Linked DNA regions of Caenorhabditis elegans. The protein of the gene in region 2 interacts with the protein of the main gene of each other region in a pairwise test. Each region holds a gene or a part of one and is shown on either strand. Other genes may lie near its edges.

Region 1 (6,428 bases), 2.4 Mb from region 2:
TGGGCCCATAACCCAGAGGTCGGTGGATCGAAACCACTCGCTGCTAGACGATGTTTTTTGCAGAGACAAAAATAAGAGAAATGCGTGCATTCTAGAAAATTGAGCCCAAATACTAAACGACTGCTGCCCCTATATGTCTTCATGCCTCGCGAGAACGGAAATCGCTAATTGTTAGTTTAACTCTACTATCCTAACTTCTTCTTTTTCCACCTTTTAGTCCTGAAAATAACTTTTAAAAAACCAAATATTTTCAACCTAAAAGTAGGGAGGGGATTGAGTAATAACATAGCAAAGCTAATAATGAATGGTCACAGCGGTGCATTAGGCGCTTCACGGAACATTATAAATGAGCAAAATGAGCACATTAAAGATTGAGTACACAATAATATGGCAGAGTTTCGGGGGGTTTTTGGGGTCTTAATGAATTGATGGATCAGGAGGTTTTTGGGTATATGAAGGTACCTATAATGCTTGTAGGTGTGATGAAAAACTCCGAGAAAAAACTTGAAAAAATGACTTTTTTTTGTAACTTTGAGCGGTGATAACTTAAAAAATCTGGAATTTTACTAAAAATTATGTATTACAGCTAAATTGTATTAATATGACACATTGTTGAACCTTCAACGGTTTCAAAGTTACAGTAATTTACGGTGAGCCAAGCATTTTTCCAAACTTGTCTCTCAAATCTGCAAAAGCTATAATTCAATATTTACATGAGTTGTTAGGGGAACAGCAAATTCTGAAAATGCGTATTGCACAACATATTTGAAGCGCAAAATATCTCGTAGCGAAAACTACAGTAACTCGTTAAATGACTACTGTATCGATCAAGCCCGTAAATCGACACGAGCACAACAGTAATCAATTACTGTAGTTTTCGCTACGAGATATTTTGAGCGTCAAATATGTTGTGCAATACGCATTCTCAGCATTTTGTGTTTCCTTAATACATACATACGTTCTCTTCTCAATTATATTGTTCCCTTTAACCCTTCTTCCCAGAAACCCAAGTGACGTCATATTGCACTACATGGGTCCCAGATGACCTCCTTTTTCCTAGATCGCCTGTACAAGATTTTTCAGACGCGCAAACTACACTTGATCAACAGGCGCGTCGAAATAGCACTGGGTAACGAGAGACCTAGACTGTAATACGTTTTTTTCCAGATGCCTAAAAAAGATGGTTATTTAGTTCTTTAGTTAATTAGCTCTTACCCAGTGAAGTCGGTTATTCTTTTATTCAACAATGCTCTCGTTTCTCCAATCTTTCTTCAAATCTCTGGGATACGAAGACTATTTCAAGTGAGTTTTAAACCCGTTTTTTCCCCAAATTCTTTATAAAATTGTAATTTTTAGACCCATTGCCCCATCTAGTCCACGATTCTTCACAAAATACTGTAATGAAACTCAAAAGAAGATTACAATTGTGATTGATAGTAACAATATCATTCGTCCCTTCGTTTTTGATGAGTCCAATGAACGTGAGCCGCTTTTTGTTGCACATTTGGGATGCTCGGAGTGCATGAGATGGAATCGAATGTATGGAGAAAACGTGAGTTTGTGCAATTTTTGTGCAAATTTTTGCTAAATTTTAAGCTTATAACAGCTTTGATCTACCATTTATATGAATGGTAGATATTATTTATATACAAATTTCACACAAATCGACGCTTTTATTCGAAATACGCTGTGACGTCACAAATTTTCAAATAATATTTTCCCGCCTTTCGTGTGAAGTGGAGCGATGCGACAGCCCACGTAGTGCTGGACTGTACCATTACGGTTTGATCTACAAAAATGCTGGAATTTTTTGTCCAAAAATGTGACGTCAGCGCATTCCTAACCAAGCTATATCAGTTGAGAACTCTGCGTCTTTTCTCCCGCATTTTTGTAGATCTGGGTAGATCAAGCCGAAATGAGACACTCTGACACCACGTGACAGCCTGAAACCACGTAAAAAAGGCATATGCCGAATTAGTAGTAGCCTGCGGTCTCGAATGTGGGTTCCGTCTTAAACTTCCGACTTTTATTTTTGTGTTTAAATTTAACAAGACAATGTTTTTTTTCAGATTGCTGAGAATAATGAGCCGGAAACCGATTCTGAAGACGAAACAGATTATGAAAGTGAAACCTCCGATTCTGAACTTGGGCAAGACTCACCGAATCCGAATCTCTCAGAAGCCTTAAACAATTGTATTGAAAATTTTGACCAACTGGTCGATGAAGTTGTAAGACACAAGGATTTCCACGAAAGATCTCAGCTCTTGAGAGTTCTCGAAGAATGCCTAGGGAATATGAACAGTTTCCTTCAAAATGAAAACTTGACTGTCGACGATATTTCGACTGGTGCCTGTGCACTGTTGAACGAGACGGCGGAAAAGCTGAAGCAGATGTTCAGCTCGAGTGGGATCTCAGGTCGGAAGGAGAGTTCAGAAGGGACCAACAAGGATCTCATTAAATTTGGGGAGTTGGAGATCAGAGGTGATGAAGAGGAGGATGATGACGACGAGTCTTACGTGGAAGGTGAAGAAGAAGATAGTTCTGACGAGGACTTGGACGATGAAGATCAGGAAGGAGAGTCCTCAATTGAGCCAAGGCTCTCAGAAACTTTCAAAAAATCGGAAGCTCGAGAATCGCTGAGCTCAAAAGAAGCTCCAGTTAAGGACCTAGTTATCTATCAAAAATTCAGAGATGAGCATGAAGACTTAGAAGAGTCCGAGAATGAGCCCAGAATGAGTGATGAAGCGGAAAAGTTAGTGGAAGACAAAATAATTGAAGAATCCGATGAAGATTCTTTTGATATAATTGGGAGAGATGAAGAATTGGATGATGACTCCAATGGCAAAGAAGAGGAAGAACTAGAGCTTGATGTAACGCAGGAAGACTCGGAAGATGATGAACAATTTTTTTCTCTCTGAAAATGTTTTTTTGCTCAACTTAAATACGTGATAATAAATCTGCTAACGACCAAACATTTGAAATTATCTATTTTATTTTGAACGAACCTTAATATTTGAGGTATCATGATAAAAGTGCAGTTACAGACTTTTTTAGTATGATGAACCCAACTCTAGTATTATTAATCCGCAAAAAATTCAGAAATGCCTAAAACCACAGAAATTAGGGGGTGTCCCATAGCAGTTGGGCGCACTGTAGGAACCAAATTGGACTTCAGGTTAGAAAAATAGATAGTTAGAGAAAAATACTTTCTTATCAGTTGCTCTCTTCTTTATCATTGCCCCTTTCGTATTTGCACTTTCTCTGCATCTCTCTCACTCTCCCACTCTCTTTACACGTGAATTTGTTTCCTTTTTCATTGTTGAATTGTTTGAATCCATGAGTTTTCGGTTTCAAATCTGATTGCTAAATTCCCACTAATGAAAGCTCGTAAAATTTTAATTACCGTAGCCATTCTGGCTTCACTGCTTGCTTACCGATATTGTGAGTTTTTGAATTTCTTACATTTGAAAATTGTGCTGAAATGTTAAGATTCTCAGAGAACCATGGAATTTTTAATTGAAGAAGATCAAATGTGTCTACAGAGGGAATGGTATGAAAGTGAGTTTTTTTGCCAGCATTCTGAGATTTTAAATGTATTCAATAAGTTTAAATTTTCTTTAAAATTCTTTAAAAAATCCAATATTTTTAATAATATAATATATTCCAAATTCACAATCAGTTATTTGTTTTCATTTAAAAGCACACAAAATTTACTTTGAAAATATAATTTTCTAATAAAAATCAAATTTCGAACAACTTTAGTTTTACCGAAACAGATTTTGTACTAAAATTTATGAAACTTCTTCGATTTTTCAGAAATTTTCAGAAAATTCACAGCATATTGTTGCTTGCTCATATTGTTTAACTAATAGTAAAAAACGTTGAGCAAGTTTCAGACAATTTTGAATTTTTTTTTGAAAATTTGGGACCAAACATAAAAAATTTATTTAAACTTGGGTTTTTATGAAAGAATGAAATCAAAATGAATCGGAAATAAATCTCAATTTCTAAGAAAAAAATTGCCAATTCTCTCAGAAAAGTTCCAATAACATTCTTTACACATTTTCGTTTAAAAAACGCAATTGATTAACACTTGTGCAAAATGGTTCTGAAATTCCAGGCTCCCAAATAAACTCAACCGCCGATTATGGAAATTCTTATCAAATTTCATTTTCCGACGTCCAGAGCACATTCAAATGGATCCATATTCCAAAAATAAGCGGTTCTCCTGAAATCTTATTGATCGTCCTATCGAGGCCTGACGACTTTTCTAGAAGAAATGTTATAAGGCATACGTGGATGAGTCAGGAAAATGAGATAAAATACTTGTTTCTGATTGGATTAGGTGCTAATATGGACGGAAAAATTAAAGAAGTTGTGATGGCGGAAGCAAAATTGTTTGGGGACATTGTAGTGACATCTATGGAAGATCGGTATTCCAAATTATCGTTTAAAGTTAGTTTAAAGCTGGGATACTGACCAAGTCTCGTAGTAGATCAAAGTTGGAATCAGAACTTGAATTTCGCGGTAAAATTTTTGGAACTTTCAAGACTGGCTCTATAGACTGGCTCTATCTTCTGCAACCCAATAACCTCTAACTAATGATTACAGACCCTGACGCTGCTTCTCTTCGGGGTCTCCAAAGTCCCGTCAGCCCAGCTAATTGGAAAAATTGACGGAGATGTTCTCTTCTTTCCGAATTTATTCTTATCGACTATAAAAAACGAAAATTCTATGATTAACGTGACAAGTGCAAGTGTTTATGGAAAAATTGCCGAAGCTGGAGTGCCGATTGTGTCCAACTGCTGCAAACGGTAGGTGAGCCCGGTGAACTCTGAAATTCAAAGGTGGTCCTGGCCAGGTAGCTCACCACATGGTAGGTGCTGATTTCTCTAAAGTACTCAAGAGTCATGAAGCTCTACGCAAGACTTGATTGATTTTACACACGTGGTGTCAAAATTTCCCATGTCGGTTTGATCTACGTAGATCTACGAAAATCGCGAGAACTTAGACGCAGACATTTCGAATGATTAAGAACGTGCTGACGTCACTTTTTTTTGGAGAAAAAATTCCCGCATTTTTGTAGATCAAACCGTAATGGGACATCCTGACACTACGTGTTTAAATAGGTATCAAATTCTTCAATTACCCGATTTTTTTAATCGTCAGCCGAAATTTAGGGAGCTGGGAGTCGGCAAGTTCACCTAAACCAAATTAAACAGTTTTAAAACAAAAAAAAGTTTTTTTTTCCAGATTTTTAAAGTACAATTTCAGACGAAATTCTCTGATTTCGTTTGGATGCACGAGGTACGCTTTCTATCTTGCTGGTCCATTCTACTTGGTGACAAGAAGTGCTGCTTTACGATTACTAGAAGCTTCAAAACATAGAAATTTTCACAAGGTAATTAACTAAATTAGCTACCTATCTGAAATAATAGCCAACAAAAAAGTTGGCTGATTCTGTTAATTCCGGTTTTTTTTTTCATTTGAACTAGCTAAAAACAACTTGATATTGTCTTCATTAATTTTGGTCACTTTCAGATCGAAGATACCCTCATCACTGGAGTTCTGGCTGATGATACTGATGTGAGCAGAGTACAGCTTCACCGGATAAATTTGGGCCAAGAGAAGGGAACTGATTTGGTTTTTGCATGGCATAGCCCGCTAAATGATCCGGAGTACAAAGATCTTTACTACAAAACTATGAGCTCACAGCAGTTTAAAGAAAAATTGCGATTACAAGAAATAAATGTCACTTGACTTTAAAAAAAAGTTTTCCTGTTTCTTAAATTGCCGATAATTTTATTTCAACACGATTTACATTTTTTTTTATTAGATGTTTATAAATTACGGGCAAATATTTTTTCATCTTCAGAAATTCATCAATTACGGACAAAACTGTTCAGCATGGTCAATCTTACCAGAAAATACCGAAAGTATGCTAGTTTGATCGGAAGGTTATTTTAAAAAAATTGCAAATATTAATTAAAAATTTTTTTTCCAAAAATTTAAAACTACGGCAAAATCATAGGAGTGCTTCTTTTTTATTTTATGAAACTGTTCAGCATTATCGGATTTATCAAAAAATACCAAACAAAGTACGCTAGCTAATCCGGAACATATTTTAAAAATTGCAGAAAATAACCAAAAAATGATTTTTTCAAAAAATCAAAAGTACGCCAAATCATATGAAGCGCTTCTTTTTTTTTTAAATAAAACTGTTCTACATGGACAAATACACCAGAAAATACCAAATAAAATATGCTAGCTTGACCGGAAGCTTATATTTAGAAAATGCATATATTTACGTGCCTATAAAACAAGAACTAATTTTTCTAAAAAAGATTTGGTAGGAAAATAATTTTTATTTTTCAGTAAAAATTGACTGAAATTCAAATATCATTTGTTTAAACAAATTTACCAAAAAA
Region 2 (6,428 bases):
GGAAAGGGTGAAGCGGCTAACATCTTGTGGGTCCATTTTTGAATATTTCTCTGAGAAAGCCTGTACTCCAGAACACAGACCTTTTGAATATGTTTCAGTAGTAATAAAATAATCTACATTCATTAATCTTTTTTTTTCACAAATAATTGTAGTGTCAAAATTCAAATAGCTATTCATAATACTTTACAAAAGCTCCAATTTCTGAGAGAACAAAATCAAAATGAAGGTTAAAATCAGTCAAAATGCCACAGCGCCGCAAATAGTTGTTCCAATTTATAGCTGCATTTGATTCTGAAAATTGACATATTTTTGATGATGGGAGCGGCATGTTTCACTTAAAGTTTGCACAGTTGGGTGCCAACTGTTTACCAATTCTATCTCTCTCAAAAAACGTCTCCCCCATTTTCCATAATAATTGTGCTTCCATTCCATTCATAAAGATGTCATGAACTTGATAAACGGGGAGACTGTGTACGTGTGTCTGTATTAGCTTTTTCCTCTTTTCATTCCCCGTTTTTCCTTCTGACTCATATTTATATAATGGGTTATTATAAGATTCAATTCGTAAGAATTCTGAATTGATATGAAAGTAAAATATTGTCTGGAGACGGTTCTGGAAATTTTTGGAACGAAACCATGACACATTTCTGATCAAAAGTTCAGATTAAGATATTATACGAAAATTGGCATCATTTCTCGACGCGAAGAAAAAGTTTAAAAAAATATGTGTATTGAAGGAAAATCTGTGGAAATTTGGGAAAAGTTGCAAAAAACAGAAATAAAATCTACAGTACTCGGCAATTGCCGACCAGCAATTTTACGAAATGAGCAAATATTTTTATTGAAATTCAGTAAATAAAATATAGAAACTATTTGCTTTATGTGAAAATTACTGAATTTATTTTATTTGTAATAATTTAAAAATGCTCAAAAATTGTATGAAAGTTGAACACTGGAGAAATTGCCAGGCACCCCTGCTACAGTACTCTAAACATTGCTCTAATCTCTCAACTTGCTCTTAACATTGCCCACACCTCTGTGCAAAAACTTTCGCTTCGCTCCGAGACCTTTTTTGTAAAAAATTCTGGTTTCTCGCAACTGTGTGATATGTTGCGATAAATTGCAATGTCGGTTTTTTAGTAATAGTTTTCAAATTTAATTTTTTATTCTGTTTTTCGATTTTCGAAAATTTACATATTTCAAAAAATTAAAATGTTCAATTTTTGAAATTTCTCCAATTCAAATTTGTTCAAAATTGTTTCACAGCTTATTCCTGCAATTTCAGCAAGATCCCAAAAAATTTTTGCGAGTAGTATTCTTATTCAAAATCATAAATTAAATGCCAACTCAATTTTTGAATGCTCGAAAGCTCTCAAGTTCTCTTTGGCTCAATCGATCTATGAGCGATAACGGGACCTCCGCTCTCCTTCCTCAAGGTTGTTGTAAACCAGATGAGATCTTTGCAAGGTATCTGTCAAGAGTATCAAGACGCAGACAGATACACACACGAACGGACTTCTTGTTTTCGTTCATTTCTTTCTAACTATTTTCTTACCTACCCTTCTATTTCACAATTTTTATTACACAAAAATTTGAAAAAAATAGACTTCCCATGCCGGGAATCGAACCCGGGCCGCGTGGGTGAAAACCACGAATCCTAACCACTAGACCACATGGGAGCGGCGACATTCGCTTTCATTCTTGCCGTTAAAAGTCAAATACTTTGCTTAGTGATTAAAAAAGACAAGACTACAAAGTATCCTGTAACCGATAAAAAATAATCGATACTTATCATGTTATCAATTATTCCGTTCCATTTAAGATGTCACAGATGATCACTGATCGTATTGTTTTCCGTATGATCTATGAAACATTAAAACTTAGCAACTGTACGTTTTTCTCAATTCCGCCTCTTCCCTTAAAAATAATAAATCAGGTGATTTTTAATGTATTTTGAAATTTGTGTGTCGCATGTTTGTTTTCGTTGTCACTCTCACTTTACGTCTGAAAAGGAATTTTAATCGATTTTTCGAAGATCAAATTGTCAACCGTTTTCATTTTTGGCTTCAGTGGTAGGCAGGCATGTCGTCAGGACAGGCGATCGTGCCTTGCATACCTGCCGCCTATTTTCTGCATTCTGACGGGAAGCGCGGTGTTTCGTGCGATTTTCAAACAATGTTTGCGATTTTTGAGCGAAAGATACGGTGCCGGGTCTTGACACGACAAAAAAAATGATAAAAATTAACAGAGAAACTGAGAAAATACACGAGTGAAAAACACAATCTCATGGGAAATTTATAAAAATAAGAATTTAACAAAAGTTTGTCGTGCCGAGACCGGCTACCGTATTTTCGGCGCAATAATACCCGACAGTTCATAAGCCGGGTTTTTCAGAATGGGAGTCAAAAAAGGGTTACTGTAGCAGTAGTGTCCAATACATTCGCTTGTAAAGTACGGTACAAGGTGACCATCGGAAAGAACGGAAAATGTGAGAAGCTATTAAAATTACAATAAATCACATTTTTGAGATATCTGTTGTTTTCCATAACTCTTCATATTCATATTATTTCAAGTAAAAATCAGTTTGTCAAAATCAAAAAACAAACATCAAAAAACAAAAACTATAAAGATTCATTTTTTTGATAGTTTTTGACATTAACTACGTTGATTTTAACCGAATCTATCTAAATAAGTCAACCAGGCGAGTTTTAATGTTAAATTCAAAAAATTTAGCAAAAATGCTCGAAAAATTCAGCTGAAAATTGAAAAATCCTATTCTCCTCGAGAGACTGCGTAAATCCATCGCGACCAGCTCTTCCATTTCTAGACATGAGTTCGGAAGCCCGGGATTTGTAAAACCTGTAAATGAACCAAATCATTCTCAACCCCTCCCGTTCGAACTTCGAATGAGCTGCGTTTTCTTAAACTGAAATTCCAGAAATTACAGTCGTCTTTCAATATTGTATTCCCGATCTCTGCAAGACCCTTATCAGTCCTTCTATAAATTTCTCATTTTCTCTACCCACTCTCTCATTTTATAATTGTCTTTTCGTCGTTTCTTTCACATGTTTGTCACTTCTTTGCCCCCTTCTTCCCGCCATTCTTATCAAACACCCATCATACGCTCTCCAATACAATGTATTCTTTTTCTTCTTTTTCCAATCATTTTCCTGCTTCTTCATACTCTCTTTTTTTGTTCTTCACACACGTTTTAAGGATCATTGACAATTTGAAATCAGGAAGATCAGTTTTTATGAAGTCGGGTACAAAGAAGGATAGACTAAACTAGAATTTTGTTCTAGAAAAGTTTCAACTAGAAATTGAGATACTTTATTAAATGTTCAGATTTGAAAAATCTCTATGTTTTCCACCCTGGCATATACATATATACCGACATACGTGCCTACAGGCCAATGGCGCGCGGAATATGCCCACCAGTAATTCTACATGAGCCAGGGAGTTCTCATAGTATCTGAAATTTGAAAATGGAGGTAAAAAATTAGGCAAATTGCAACTTTCGAACAGTTTTTCGGACGAATAAAGGTTATTTTCCAATAAAACAAAAAATGCGATATATTCTGTCACCAAATTTAAATAAAAAATATCGAGAGAACATGCCACACTGGTTTGCTTTAGGTTTCCTATTCCTGCATTTCTGTAAATTAAATTATGTCTTTTCATGAGTAGGTGGTCTTCAAAGCTGCCTTGTAGGCACGTAGGTAGGCCTATCTAGGCTTAGATCTATGTAAGATCTAGTTTTTGGACATCTAATTTGAATTTAAACTTGCTCATCAAATATTCTATTCCGCTTCTTCCTACTTTTTATTATTGATTCATATTATCTAATAGAGCACAATTACATAAATATTTAGACAAAAAGTATGGTCGAAGAAATATGTCATATTTGCAACGACAAATCAACTGGTAAACACTACGGGGCAATCAGTTGTGATGGATGTAAAGGATTCTTTCGACGAAGTATTCGCAAACGATATCATTATCAATGCAGATTTGAACAAAATTGTGATGTTACCAAAAGTATGTTTATAGTTTTTAAAGTTTTTGGGCCGTTGGTTTCTGAAATTTCCAAAAGCAAGTCGGTCCTCCAATGTAATAAATATGTAATATTTCCTCTTATTTCAGATAAACGGAACGCATGTCGAGCATGTAGACTTCAAAAATGTGTAAAAGCGGGAATGAAGAGTAATGGTGAGATCATTCCAATACTTTTTTATAAAAATAGCCTGTACTATTTCAGCAATTCAAAATGAACGGGATGCAATTGGAAAACGGAAAAAGACTACGGGAGCTGAAAAAGAAGATTTGATAGATCAACTTGTTGCCGCAGAAACATTATGTCAGCAATTAAGGTCCAGTGTAATCAAGAATACATCTTCACTTGTAAGTTTGATTGGGATTAAACGCAGTGCTTCAAATTTCGTCAAGAGGGATTTCTTTCAATTTGGAAAGTTCTTGATTTTCTTTACTTAAGAAACACGGTTTAATTATGCCGGAATTTGTACCTGGTGGTTCTTTTTCCGCCCCCAGAAAAATCTGTTTTCTAGTTTCACCTCTTGATCTCAGTCAATAATCACATTGAATCCACGTGTTTTACAGGCACCATACGACTGTGGAAAAGTTAAATGGAATTATGAAGATGCGAGAGCTGCCACATTGGATGATATTGGAAAATCGATTCATCAACAATTGGTTCTTTTTATCGAATGGGCGAAGTCATTACCTCAATTCTCGTTTTTGGCTCAAGCAGATCAGGTATGATTTTTTTTCTATGAAAAATTTCAGAAAAATATTTGTTAGATGATTTTTTTTTTGATAAAATCAAAAACAACAGAGATATTATTTAGCTGTCATAGTAGCGAGTTTAATACTGAAAATACTGCAATTACTTGTTTCATACTTTCTTTTTTAAAAAATGACGACTTCTAGCAACAATTTCATAATTCCAGGCAGCTCTTCTCAAAGGCGGTGCCGCGTCAATAATTGTACTTGGAGTAGCATATCGATCGATTTGTCTGACAGTTGAAAATACAATTTGCCTTGCAAATGACACACTTCTTCCAAAAGAACATGCAACACAAGTGGGAGATATCAAGTGAGTATATTCTCATTTCATATCTGTATTCTCAGGTTTTGTACAGTCATTTCAGTTGTGTCGTCGGACGAATTATTGATGAAATTGTGAATCCAATGAGGAGGTTAAATATGGATTTAATTGAATATGTTGCACTGAAAGCTATTCTGTTTTTCAATCCAGTCGTCAGAGAAATCAACGATCAGAGTCCGGTGGAGAACGCCCGATATGCTTTTTTGAGGTCATTGCAGAGAAGGTTTATTTGACAATACTAGCTTCTATAACAAATGTAATATATTTCAGGTGTACTGACAAGGCACTTGAAAATATGGAAGACGAATCAATGGATTGCAGAAGTGGAAAGCTTTTGTTATTACTTCCATCACTTCAGGCTATTGCTCAACAATTGGTTAGTTACAATTGTTATTCAAATTAGTAATTTATGAATTTAAAGGTAGAAGATGTCCAACTTGCTCGTTTGTTCGGTCTCGTGAATGTCGATTCGTTAATGGAAGAACTTATTCTAAATGATATGAAACCTTCAGATCCACAGGTAATTTTTATTTTGAAAAGCAGAACAATGAAAGGAATATCTTAGTTATTGGCAACTTTCAAAACCTAAATCCTGAGCCCGGGGAATTTTATTTCAAACTCTTCCAAATGTGGAATATGCACAACAAATTTTGTTTAGTCTATCTAAGGAGAATAGGTCAATAAATATGCGGATTTCTTTTGTGCTTTGTGACTGTTAAGCTTATGGTGGTTTTGTGGAAGACCCTAATAAGTTCCAGAGACAATTTCAATCTCACAATTTTTGTTTTCAGATATTACAAACGAGTCTGGCATCACCGGTGAACTCGTCCGTTAAAGCAGAAGTTGAATTGGAAGAATAGTTTCCAATTTTCCAATATTTTATATTCAAGAGACCATAATCTCATCTTGCCTCCCTTCCTGCTCAAACCATCTAAATACTTCCAAACTTTGACTTCTAGAAATCGGGTCCCAACGGACACATTACTTACCTGCTCAAACCACCTCATTGTTTCCTTTTTCTATGTTGGTTTTATTATTATTTTAATAATTATTATTTCATGTCATGCAAATATTTGAAATTGTAACAACAATTAATTCGGTATCAGGAAAACAACAAAATATTGAAATTATTATACATTCGCAGCTGAAGCCATTCGGCTGCTTGGAGGTCGAAGGAATTGAGGAGCTGGTGTAGTTGGAGATTGATCCAAATGTAAATCTTCTCGACTCATGAGAGGAACCAAAACTGATGTTTTCCGTCGCAGACCTGAAAAGGGTGCATAGTATTCAGGCAAATGAGAAC

The links.
Region 1: the proteins of nhr-69 (region 2) and F14B6.6 interact in a two-hybrid assay, tested with the Caenorhabditis elegans proteins (one large-scale study listed by BioGRID).

The regions. Positions count from the first base shown.
Region 1 is NC_003279.8:12,229,335-12,235,762, forward strand, and holds F14B6.6 (Hexosyltransferase), read left to right. Parts: upstream 1-3,377; coding exon 3,378-3,441; intron 3,442-3,489; coding exon 3,490-3,558; intron 3,559-4,120; coding exon 4,121-4,455; intron 4,456-4,611; coding exon 4,612-4,814; intron 4,815-5,253; coding exon 5,254-5,401; intron 5,402-5,541; coding exon 5,542-5,760; 3' UTR 5,761-5,859; downstream 5,860-6,428. Other genes in the region: F14B6.3 (uncharacterized protein), read left to right, coding at 1,247-1,302, 1,357-1,552, 2,070-2,918.
Region 2 is NC_003279.8:9,878,947-9,885,374, reverse strand, and holds nhr-69 (Nuclear hormone receptor family member nhr-69), read left to right. Parts: upstream 1-3,870; 5' UTR 3,871-3,881; coding exon 3,882-4,038; intron 4,039-4,143; coding exon 4,144-4,209; intron 4,210-4,258; coding exon 4,259-4,401; intron 4,402-4,617; coding exon 4,618-4,773; intron 4,774-4,967; coding exon 4,968-5,113; intron 5,114-5,168; coding exon 5,169-5,348; intron 5,349-5,395; coding exon 5,396-5,501; intron 5,502-5,546; coding exon 5,547-5,645; intron 5,646-5,916; coding exon 5,917-5,985; 3' UTR 5,986-6,192; downstream 6,193-6,428. Other genes in the region: inx-20 (Innexin), read right to left, coding at 6,256-6,392. UniProt on the Caenorhabditis elegans protein: Orphan nuclear receptor which, in cooperation with R-SMAD daf-8, modulates the Insulin/IGF-1-like signaling (IIS) pathway, perhaps by regulating expression of the potassium channel exp-2, which in turn modulates the secretion of insulin-like peptide daf-28.